Macaca fascicularis: one gene and its partner. The main gene of each other region encodes a partner of the protein of the gene in region 2 in a complex. Links are inferred from orthologs where the notes say so. Each region holds a gene or a part of one and is shown on either strand. Other genes may lie near its edges. The genes, in order: TBC1D20 and RAB1B.

Region 1 (3,983 bases), on a different chromosome or scaffold from region 2:
TCCTCTTGGCACATGGACAAATTCTCGTTCCCCTCCCTCCCTCCACATGTTCAGCTCTCCAGAAGCTCCCCAAAGCCTACCTTCCTGGGCCTTTTATGGAGACATCATTGGATAGGCATGGCTGAAGCATGGCAACCATGTTGAGATGAAACTGGACAAAAAGCATAAGGTCTAAACCCAGCAAGTCCTGTCGGTCTAGATGCTTCCTGATCTCTCTGTGCAGTGTTCCTCCTTCCCGGGTATGGGGCAGGACCCTCTCTGGAATGAGGGTCTTATGAGCTACAGTCAGATTAGAGTCTGGCATTGAGCAAGTGAAATGAGGGCATAAGGTCACAGACAGAGATTCCATTTTTGAGGCCTGCAGTGCCCCAACAAAGGGCTATGGAAGTGATGAACCAGAACTGTGGACAAAAACATCTACACACACACACACACATAAAATATCACGGTGCCCTGGGCAGCAGCTGGAGCATGTGGGTCATACTTCTTGCAGATGAAATAGAAACAGCAGGACTGTAGATATTGCCCAAGGTCTCCTAGCCAGTCAAGGCCGACCACGATCCACAGGCCACGGCATAGTTCTGGGCCTGACATGGAAGGTGGGGAGCATCCAGATCAGAGACCATTCCCACTGAGTGGTGGGCAAGGACAGAATGACAGAAGAGGTGATTAGTAACCACATATGGCTATTTATTTGATACAGGGCTCTGTACAAAATATTTACACATATTCTTTACAGAATAAGTAAACCACCTGAAGGTAATTAGATAATGCTTTCTTCTCAATGACAGGGAGAATCCTGGTGTCAGCAAAGTTACAAAACAGATAAACATGATCCTTCGGAGGCCACAACTCAAGCAAATGCCACTTGCTTCCTAGGATCTGAAAAGCTGTGGCCTTGGGACCCTGGTCACATGAACCTCTTTTCCTCAACCCCATCAATTCCTTCAGTATTTACAAACAGGTTTGAGTGCTTGTGGAAGGAGGGGCAGCTGCTGCCGCCCACTGAAATGATGACAAGAGGGCCAGCTTGCTGTGGGAGAGCACTGGGAATATATGCTGCATCATCACCTCTGGAAGAATTTCCTTTGCCCTGATAAATACACCACTTTCTAAATTAATCCATCTACATTAGGCTTACCCCAAGGTGGGGCTCCTGCCATGGACAATGATCCATCACTTTGAGCTTTTTTTGGTTTTAAAGTGCGTAGTGGCTGGGCGTGGTGGCTCACACCTGTAATCCCAGCACTTTGGGAGAACGAGACGGGCATATCACTTGAGGTCAGGAGTTTGAGACCAGCCTGGCCAATGTGGTGAAACCCCATCTCTACTAAAAATACAAAAATTAGCCAGGCATGGTAGCAGATGCCTGTAGTCCCAGCTACTCAGGAAGCTGAGGCAGGGAGAACTGCTTGAACCTGGGAGATGGAGGGTGCAGTAAGCCGAGATTGCACCACTGCACTCCAGCCTGGGCAACAGAGACTCCATCTCAGAAAAAAGAAAATAATAATAAAATAAATAAAAATAAAGTGCTTAGTGTAACTCAGTGGACAGGGCTCCCAGCTGCTCTGGCTCGCCAGCTGCCTGGCATGTGGGACACCCTCCACCCTGCACACAACAGGCATGCAAGGAGGGCATGGAGGTCTGGATATGGTGGGGTGGAGTGCTTCTGGTGTGTTCACTTTAAGAAAACACCTGCCAAGAGAGATCAGTGCCCAGGAAAGACCAGGAAAATACAAGTACATGGCTGCTTCATACCATATACCCCAATTATTTAAAGCAGCAAAAGGCACTTTTTTTTTTTTCAGGCCAGAGTTAATCTAAAACAAACCTGGCTTTGCTTAGAGGGAAGCTGTCCCGGAAGGACTGAGTGATGCCTCTTGTTCCCTAAGGCCTGGAGAGTCTTTGGAGAAGCTTGGGCAGGGAATTTGGCTGTTCCAGGCTCCTGCCAAGCTCTTCAGGCTCCATTTGTTCCTTTCTGGGTGCCAGCAAGTTTCCAATGACATTTCCAACCAGGTGGGAGAGACCAGTTGACGAGACAAATCAGACCCAAAAAACGACGCTAAGGTAGTGAATGGGCGCCTATGTGGGAGTAGTATGATTTGAGGAAAACAGGAAGAAAAACTGGTCAGAAAGTGGCACTTTGGAAGTGGAAAGCTGTTTGCAAATAGCAACTCTGTCTAAAGTGAAATGTTAATCAAGTAGAAAATAAAATTCAGGATCTTAGAAGCTCATCCTTCTGATGAGAACTATTTTTTTTTTCTGTGAAGGAACTATTATTACTTTAAAAGTGAGGGTAATTTACATATGGGGTGTATATATTCTAAAAATAGTAACAAAAGTACTTTTTATAAGCAATGTTTTGTGGCTTGTAGAAGAAAACAGGGAGGAAAAAAAAAAAAAAGGCAGGCAAAACTAGTCTAGGTCTAGGCCCTAAAAATGAGCATTCCTTCCCACTTGACTGGAAATGCCCATGCAATCTCTAGGCGGAAAATAAGTAGGATTTAACAAGTTAACCTAGTTCCCTTCTGTCTCTGATTTCGGAGCTGCTAGTAAGAGGGGCCGATCATGCTCCCAGACGAGTCCTCTGGCCTCTTGTTCTCAATCTCAAGCCTGACTCCTTCAGCAGCAGCCCCTCCTCCTGTGTTCATTGGATGCGGGCAGACCAGGAGCAGTGAAGAGGGCATCCCGTGCTCCAGCTCACTTTCTACGGGGTAACTAGGAGGTTCCCGGTAACTAGGGCAGCCCAGGCCCAGCAGGTTGCAAAGGCAGCTGGAAGCTTCAGAAACCCACTTCCTCCACCACCACAGGAGGTGGCAGAGAGCCCATCCAGAAGCCCACTGGGAGGGGCATAAGATTCTGTGCCAGGCCCCCAAGTGCCCTCTGTGTCAGGTAGGCTCTCCTATTGGCCTCTGAAGTAAAGGCAAACACCAACAGGCAGGGCAGGGTGGCAGGAATAGAAAACTCTAGACAGAAACCCTTTTAATAAAGGAAATTCCACCCCGCCCAATCCTTCCATGGAAGGGTGAGACCTTAATGTGATGTAAGAGGAAGGTCTTCTCTGGCTTTCAGGGAAACAGCTGCAGCTGAAACTTAGGGGCCCACTCCAGGGCACTTTTCACCACAGCCAGTGCGGCCGCTCCAAGTGCCACCGTCAGCCCCATCACTGCCAATTTCACAAAGCGGTTGGTCCTTGGTTTGGTCAGGACATCTTTTGTTCGATCTTCAGGCCGCAGAAGTCCCCGAAACCGCTGCCGCAGCACCATATCAGGCCTCTGCTGGGCTGATGCCAGCTCAAAGTCTTTGAAGGTAGAGGCTGCCGTCCTGCAGGGGAAAGAGACAGAAGGAAGGAAGTGGTATGAAAGAAGAGGAGAAAAGAAAAACTACACCACATAGGCGGCGGGCAGAGCCTTTCATTGCTGGGAAAGCTCTTCTTGATAAAGACCCATATGTCTACAGTGGGGATTCCACTGGCCTAAGCTCAATCTCTGAAAACATGCCCCAATCCTGTCCCACCAGACACAAACCTTCCCTCACTTAGCTGCTCATTTACAGCCACCCCCACTCAACCAGCATCCCAGCCTTGCTCACCTCTCGGCTTGCTGTTGGGCGGCGGCCTCCCGAGCAAGTTCGGATGGGGGAAACTGAACAAAAAGGTCCCCTGCTCTGCTGATCAGTGTCTCATAGGGCAAGTCCTGAGGGATCTGGGACAACAGGTGGTGAACCGAGGCCATGTCACAGTCACAGTCCAGGACTTCCTGCTCGCGATACAACACAATCTGTGGGGAGGTAGTAAAGCCTTGCGGTCAGAGGCCAGACACACGGGCCTGGGCTGCCTGCATTCCATTATCCTTGGAGATGAATTTAAACTGGTTACAGACAGGACTCAGCCCAAATGTTCAGCAAACTCTTGTATCCATCAAGGAAGTAATAACATGTATACTCTCAGCGCTACTCCTACTGTCTGGCCCTTCCTGCGAACT
Region 2 (4,365 bases):
GTTATTGGCCGCGCCCCACCCTTCAGTCCACGGTACTACCCGGGCCTCCCCTCGTCCCTCCTCTAGTGGTACCGCCCAGGCCTTAATCACCCCCATTCCGTGCGGTGGTATCTCCCAGGCTCCACATTCTCGGGAGTGGCGCCTCCTAAGTGGCTCCCGGGACCTTCTCGCGCTCCTCCTGGCCTCTGAGGGATGCGTCCTACCCCGCCATCGCCCCGTGCCCCAGGACGGGGACCTCCCCTTAGTCAGTCCTCCCACCGCCGGGCCCTGCCCCGCATCCCGGCCTTATGCACTGCCCCTCCCGCCCGGCCCCGCCCAGGCACGGCCCGACCCCGCCCCGGGCACCGCCCACCGAGCCATCCTGCCACGCCTCTCCCCACGCCTGCAGCTTCTCGCGAGGGGCGGCGACGGTCCCTTGGTGGCAGGAGGGGCTCCCCCTGTTGCGGGTGAGGCGGCTGCTCTCTATTTTCAGATGTTGCTGTAGAAATAAAGACGGTTTGAATCTGAGCCGGGCTTGTTTTGAGGCGGAGGTCGGGGTCCCCCCGCGTCTCTAAACGGGTGGAGCCGGGAAGGGTCGCGCGTGAGTGGGGGACAGTGTGTCTCGCTCAACTGCTGTCCGCGCAGCTGGGCCCAGATATTCTGGCCCACCCCGGAACTGGGTGGGGGCCCCACAAGTCAGGCTTTCCCTAAAACGTTCACTTGTGGGGTTCTGGAGACCGCGGGCTCTTACGAGCTCTGCTCTTCACAAAGTTTTTGACTTTGAGTGAGTTTCCCGAGACTCAGTTTTTTCATCTATGAAATGCGGGTGATGACACGCGGCTGCGAGTTAGGAGTGCCCAGTACACGAGGAACCCTGGACAAGTGAACTTTTACTAGTCTTGCTAGATCCCACATTCTCATTTAATGTTCACAACGTGGGTATTGGGAGGGTAAGGATGACTCCGTCAGACAGATGTGAAACGTGCCAAGCCCAGCTCTAAACTGAGCTTTTTAAACACCGAGACGCCGTCAGGCTTTCCAGCATCGTGCTCAAGCCTAGGTGCGTCCGGCGTGCAAACTACAAGCCCCAGAAGGCAATGCGCCAGTAGTGATGGGAGTGGGCGCGGAGGCACGGGCTCCCCGACTACGCCTGCGCAGCGGGGCTGAGTTGGAGAACGTCTCAGACTACAAGTTCCGAGAACCAGCGCGGCGAGGCCTGAGAAGAGGACGTTTGCGCCTGCGCGTCGCGGGCGGGGCCTCTGGGGCGGAGCGGCCACCATCTTGGAACGGGAGGCGGAGCAGAGCCGACTGGGAGCGACCGAGCGGGCCGCCGCCGCCGCCATGAACCCCGAATAGTGAGTGAGCCCCGCCCGCGCCGTCCAGCGCAGCCTCGATCCCGAATACGGGGCTGTACGCTTACCGGGGTTGTCTGGCCCGGGTCAGGACTGTGCGGCGCCCCCACATCCGGGTCCCTCTTCCGCTGACCCCCCCCCCCTCACATCCGGGTTCTGCCCCTCCCCCCAGGGGCCCCAGGACCCCGGCTCAACACCCCGAGCTCTCACACCCGGGGCCCAGACGTGGCGACCCCGAGGGGCAGCTCTTGGAGCCCGAGACACCGGCCCTACCAGGCCTTATCGGTCAGATGACCCCGCAGTCCCGGTCACTTCAGGCCTCAGTTTCCCCACCTGCTGCTTGACAACTGTCCTGGAGTTTGGGAGCCCGTCTTTAGATAGTTTCTGGTCTCGGGTTCAGGCTCGGGCCCTTTAGGTCGGGCAGTGAATCCCTCTACCCTTCTCTTTCTCCTGAAGCCCGGCTCCTGGGGCCGGCCCAGAAACTGGCCAACTAAGCGGGAGGCCCCGAAGCGCCGCTTGAGTCCCATCTCCCGCAGGTCCTCTCTTCCGGGGCTGCCTCCTACCCTTTGCCTGGGTTACGCTGACCTGTCGCTCCCGACGGTCCGTCCTTTCCCGCCCTCTCCTCGCTTTTGCTCAGGCCCCCAACGCCACCGTCGCACCCCTTCCCTTGGCTGTCACACTGCTTGTGAAGTTTAGATGAATATGGAATTTGCTCTCCCCCTTCCAGCGGGATTCTCTGGTCCTCAAACTCTCCTCACTCTTGGTCACTCCCTCTGCGGGTAGGTGGCCCACATCTCATGCCCAGGACTAATAGTTTTCCCCAAGTATCAGTTATCTTCTTCCTCTTCTGCCACTTCCTTTTTCTCCTCCACATCCAGGTCTCAGATTTCCTTGGGGAAGGGTGAAGCTCTGAGCTGGATTGGGAGGGGAACAGAGAAGGGAACCAGCAGGCTCTCGCAGGGACTTTGGAGTCTGACAAACCTGGTTTGAGTCTTAAAGCGAAAAACTGTGTAAGTTAGGGCAAGTCACTTCCCTTCTCTGGCCTCTGGTTTCCTCATTAGTTGACAATGATAAAACTGACTTCATTGGACTGTTGCGAAGATTAAATGAGATGATGCATTTGAAGTACTTCACACAGGGAACTCAACTGTGTGACTTCACACAGTCACAAGTTGGAACTCAATATTATTAAATGTGATTACCTTTTACCTTTTTTTTTTTTTTTTTTTTGAGACAGGGTCTCTCTCTGTCACCCAGGCTGGAGTACAGTGGCACGATCATGGCTCACTGCAGTCTCCAACTCTTGGGCTCAAGCATTCCTCCTGCCTTGTCCTCCTGAGTAGCTGGGAATACAGAGGTACATCACCACATCTGGCACATTTTTAAATTTTTTGTAAAGACAGGGTCTCCATCTGTTTCCCAGCCTGGTCTGAAATTCTTGGGCTCAAATGATCCTTGTGCCTCGGGCTCCCAAAATGTTGGGATTACAGGTGTCAGCCACTGCACCCAGCCTTAAGTGCAATTTTCATTGCAACTTGACCACCTCTTCCTGGTGACTTCATAACAGGTTTTTTGTTGTTGTTTCCAAAGAGATGGGGTGGACTGGGCGCGGTGGCTTACGCCTGTAATCCCAGCACTTTGGGAGGCTGAGGCGGGTGGATAACGAGGTCAGAAGATCGAGACCATCCTGGCCAACATGATGAAACCCCATCTCTACTAAAAATACAAAAATTAGCCAAGTGTCATGGCACGTGCCTGTAATCCCAGCTACTCTGGAGGCTGAGGCGGGAGAATCACTTGAACCCGGGAGTTGGAGGTTGCAGTGAGCCGAGATCGTGCCACTGCACTCCAGCCTGGTGACAGAGTGAGACTCCATTTCAAAAAAAAGAGAGATGGCTGGGCGCGGTGGCTCAAGCCTGTAATCCCAGCACTTTGGGAGGCCGAGGCGGGCGGATCACGAGGTCAGGAGATCGAGACCATCCTGGCTAACACGGTGAAACCCCGTCTCTACTAAAAATACAAAAAACTAGCCGGGCGCGGTGGCGGGCGCCTGTAGTCCCAGCTACTCGGGAGGCTGAGGCAGGAGAATGGCGTAAACCCGGGAGGCGGAGCTTGCAGTGAGCTGAGATCCGGCCACTGCACTCCAGCCTGGGTGACAGAGCAAGACTCCGTCTCAAAAAAAAAAAAAAAAAAAAAAAAAGAGAGACAGGGTCGTGCTACATCACCCAGGCTGGTCATGTACTCCTGGGCTCCAGGGATCCTCCTCCTGCTTCACCCTCCCCAGTAGCTGGGACCACAGGCACACCCCACAGCACCTGGCCATCTGTCTCTTTACATGGGTTTTTCACTTAACAAGTTCTAGACTGTGCCCTGGGTTCTACTTCTGGGGCCTCCCCTGCCAAGCCAGGCATACCACAGGTCATGTACTGGGGATTCCCTAAATAGCCCCTACTGTACCAAACCATGAAGTCTCAGAAATCAGGGTAGGATACCCAGCTCTGTCGCCTTGGCAGGTCACGTCCCTCTCTGTGTCTTGATTTCTTTCTCCATAAAGTGAGAATTTAGACTCAGCAAGCTGAGAGCCCTTTGGGCTAGCTTTTTCTGGAGGGGGGCATCAGCCCTCCCTGACCGGGACTGGTGGGAAGATCTGGTGAGCACCATAGTATTCTAAACCAAAGGATGACCAGGCTCACCCCTGTAATCCCAGCACTTTTAGAGGCCAAGGCAGGTGAATCGATTGAACTCAGGAGTTTGAGACCAGCCTGGGCAACATAGTGAGACCCCGTCTCTACAAAACATAAAAAGAGTAGCCAGGGGCTGGATGTGGTGGCTCACACGTGTAATCCCAGCACTTTGGGAGGCCGAGGCAGGTGGATCACCTGAGGTCAGGAGTTTGAGACGAGCCTGGCCAACATGGTGAAACCCTGTCTCTACTAAAAATACAAAACTTAGCCAGGCATGGTGGCAGGTGCCTGTAATCCCAGCTACTCGGGAGGCCGAGACAGGAGAATTGCTTGAACCTGGCAGGCGGAGG

What was found.
Region 1: the proteins of RAB1B (region 2) and TBC1D20 are in contact, whole or in part, in a crystal structure (PDB 4HLQ), measured with the Homo sapiens proteins. The link is inferred for Macaca fascicularis from reciprocal best matches to the Homo sapiens genes RAB1B and TBC1D20. Residues at the interface, in NP_112243.1 of Homo sapiens: Ser17, Gly18, Ser36, Tyr37, Ile38, Ser39, Thr40, Ile41, Gly42, Val43, Asp44, Phe45, Gln60, Trp62, Ala65, Gly66, Gln67, Arg69, Phe70, Thr72, Ile73, Tyr77, Glu94; in NP_653229.1 of Homo sapiens: Gln97, Gln98, Leu101, Asp102, Arg104, Arg105, Leu107, Arg108, His141, Tyr142, Tyr143, Gln144, Gly145, His147, Asp148, Phe177, Met178, Asp179, Pro180, Thr181, Met182, Lys186, Val212, Ile215, Leu218, Ser219, Thr223, His227, Met272, Ala273.

The regions. Positions count from the first base shown.
Region 1 is NC_088384.1:86,973,937-86,977,919, reverse strand, and holds the end of TBC1D20 (TBC1 domain family member 20), read right to left. Parts: intron 3,780-3,983; coding exon 3,592-3,779; intron 3,325-3,591; coding exon 3,069-3,324; 3' UTR 670-3,068; downstream 1-669. UniProt on the Homo sapiens protein: GTPase-activating protein (GAP) specific for Rab1 and Rab2 small GTPase families for which it can accelerate the intrinsic GTP hydrolysis rate by more than five orders of magnitude. Also shows GAP activity for RAB18 GTPase.
Region 2 is NC_088388.1:8,121,446-8,125,810, reverse strand, and holds the start of RAB1B (ras-related protein Rab-1B), read left to right. Parts: upstream 1-1,262; 5' UTR 1,263-1,320; coding exon of another isoform or gene 1,321-1,334; 5' UTR 1,335-2,027; coding exon 2,028-2,110; intron 2,111-4,365. UniProt on the Homo sapiens protein: The small GTPases Rab are key regulators of intracellular membrane trafficking, from the formation of transport vesicles to their fusion with membranes.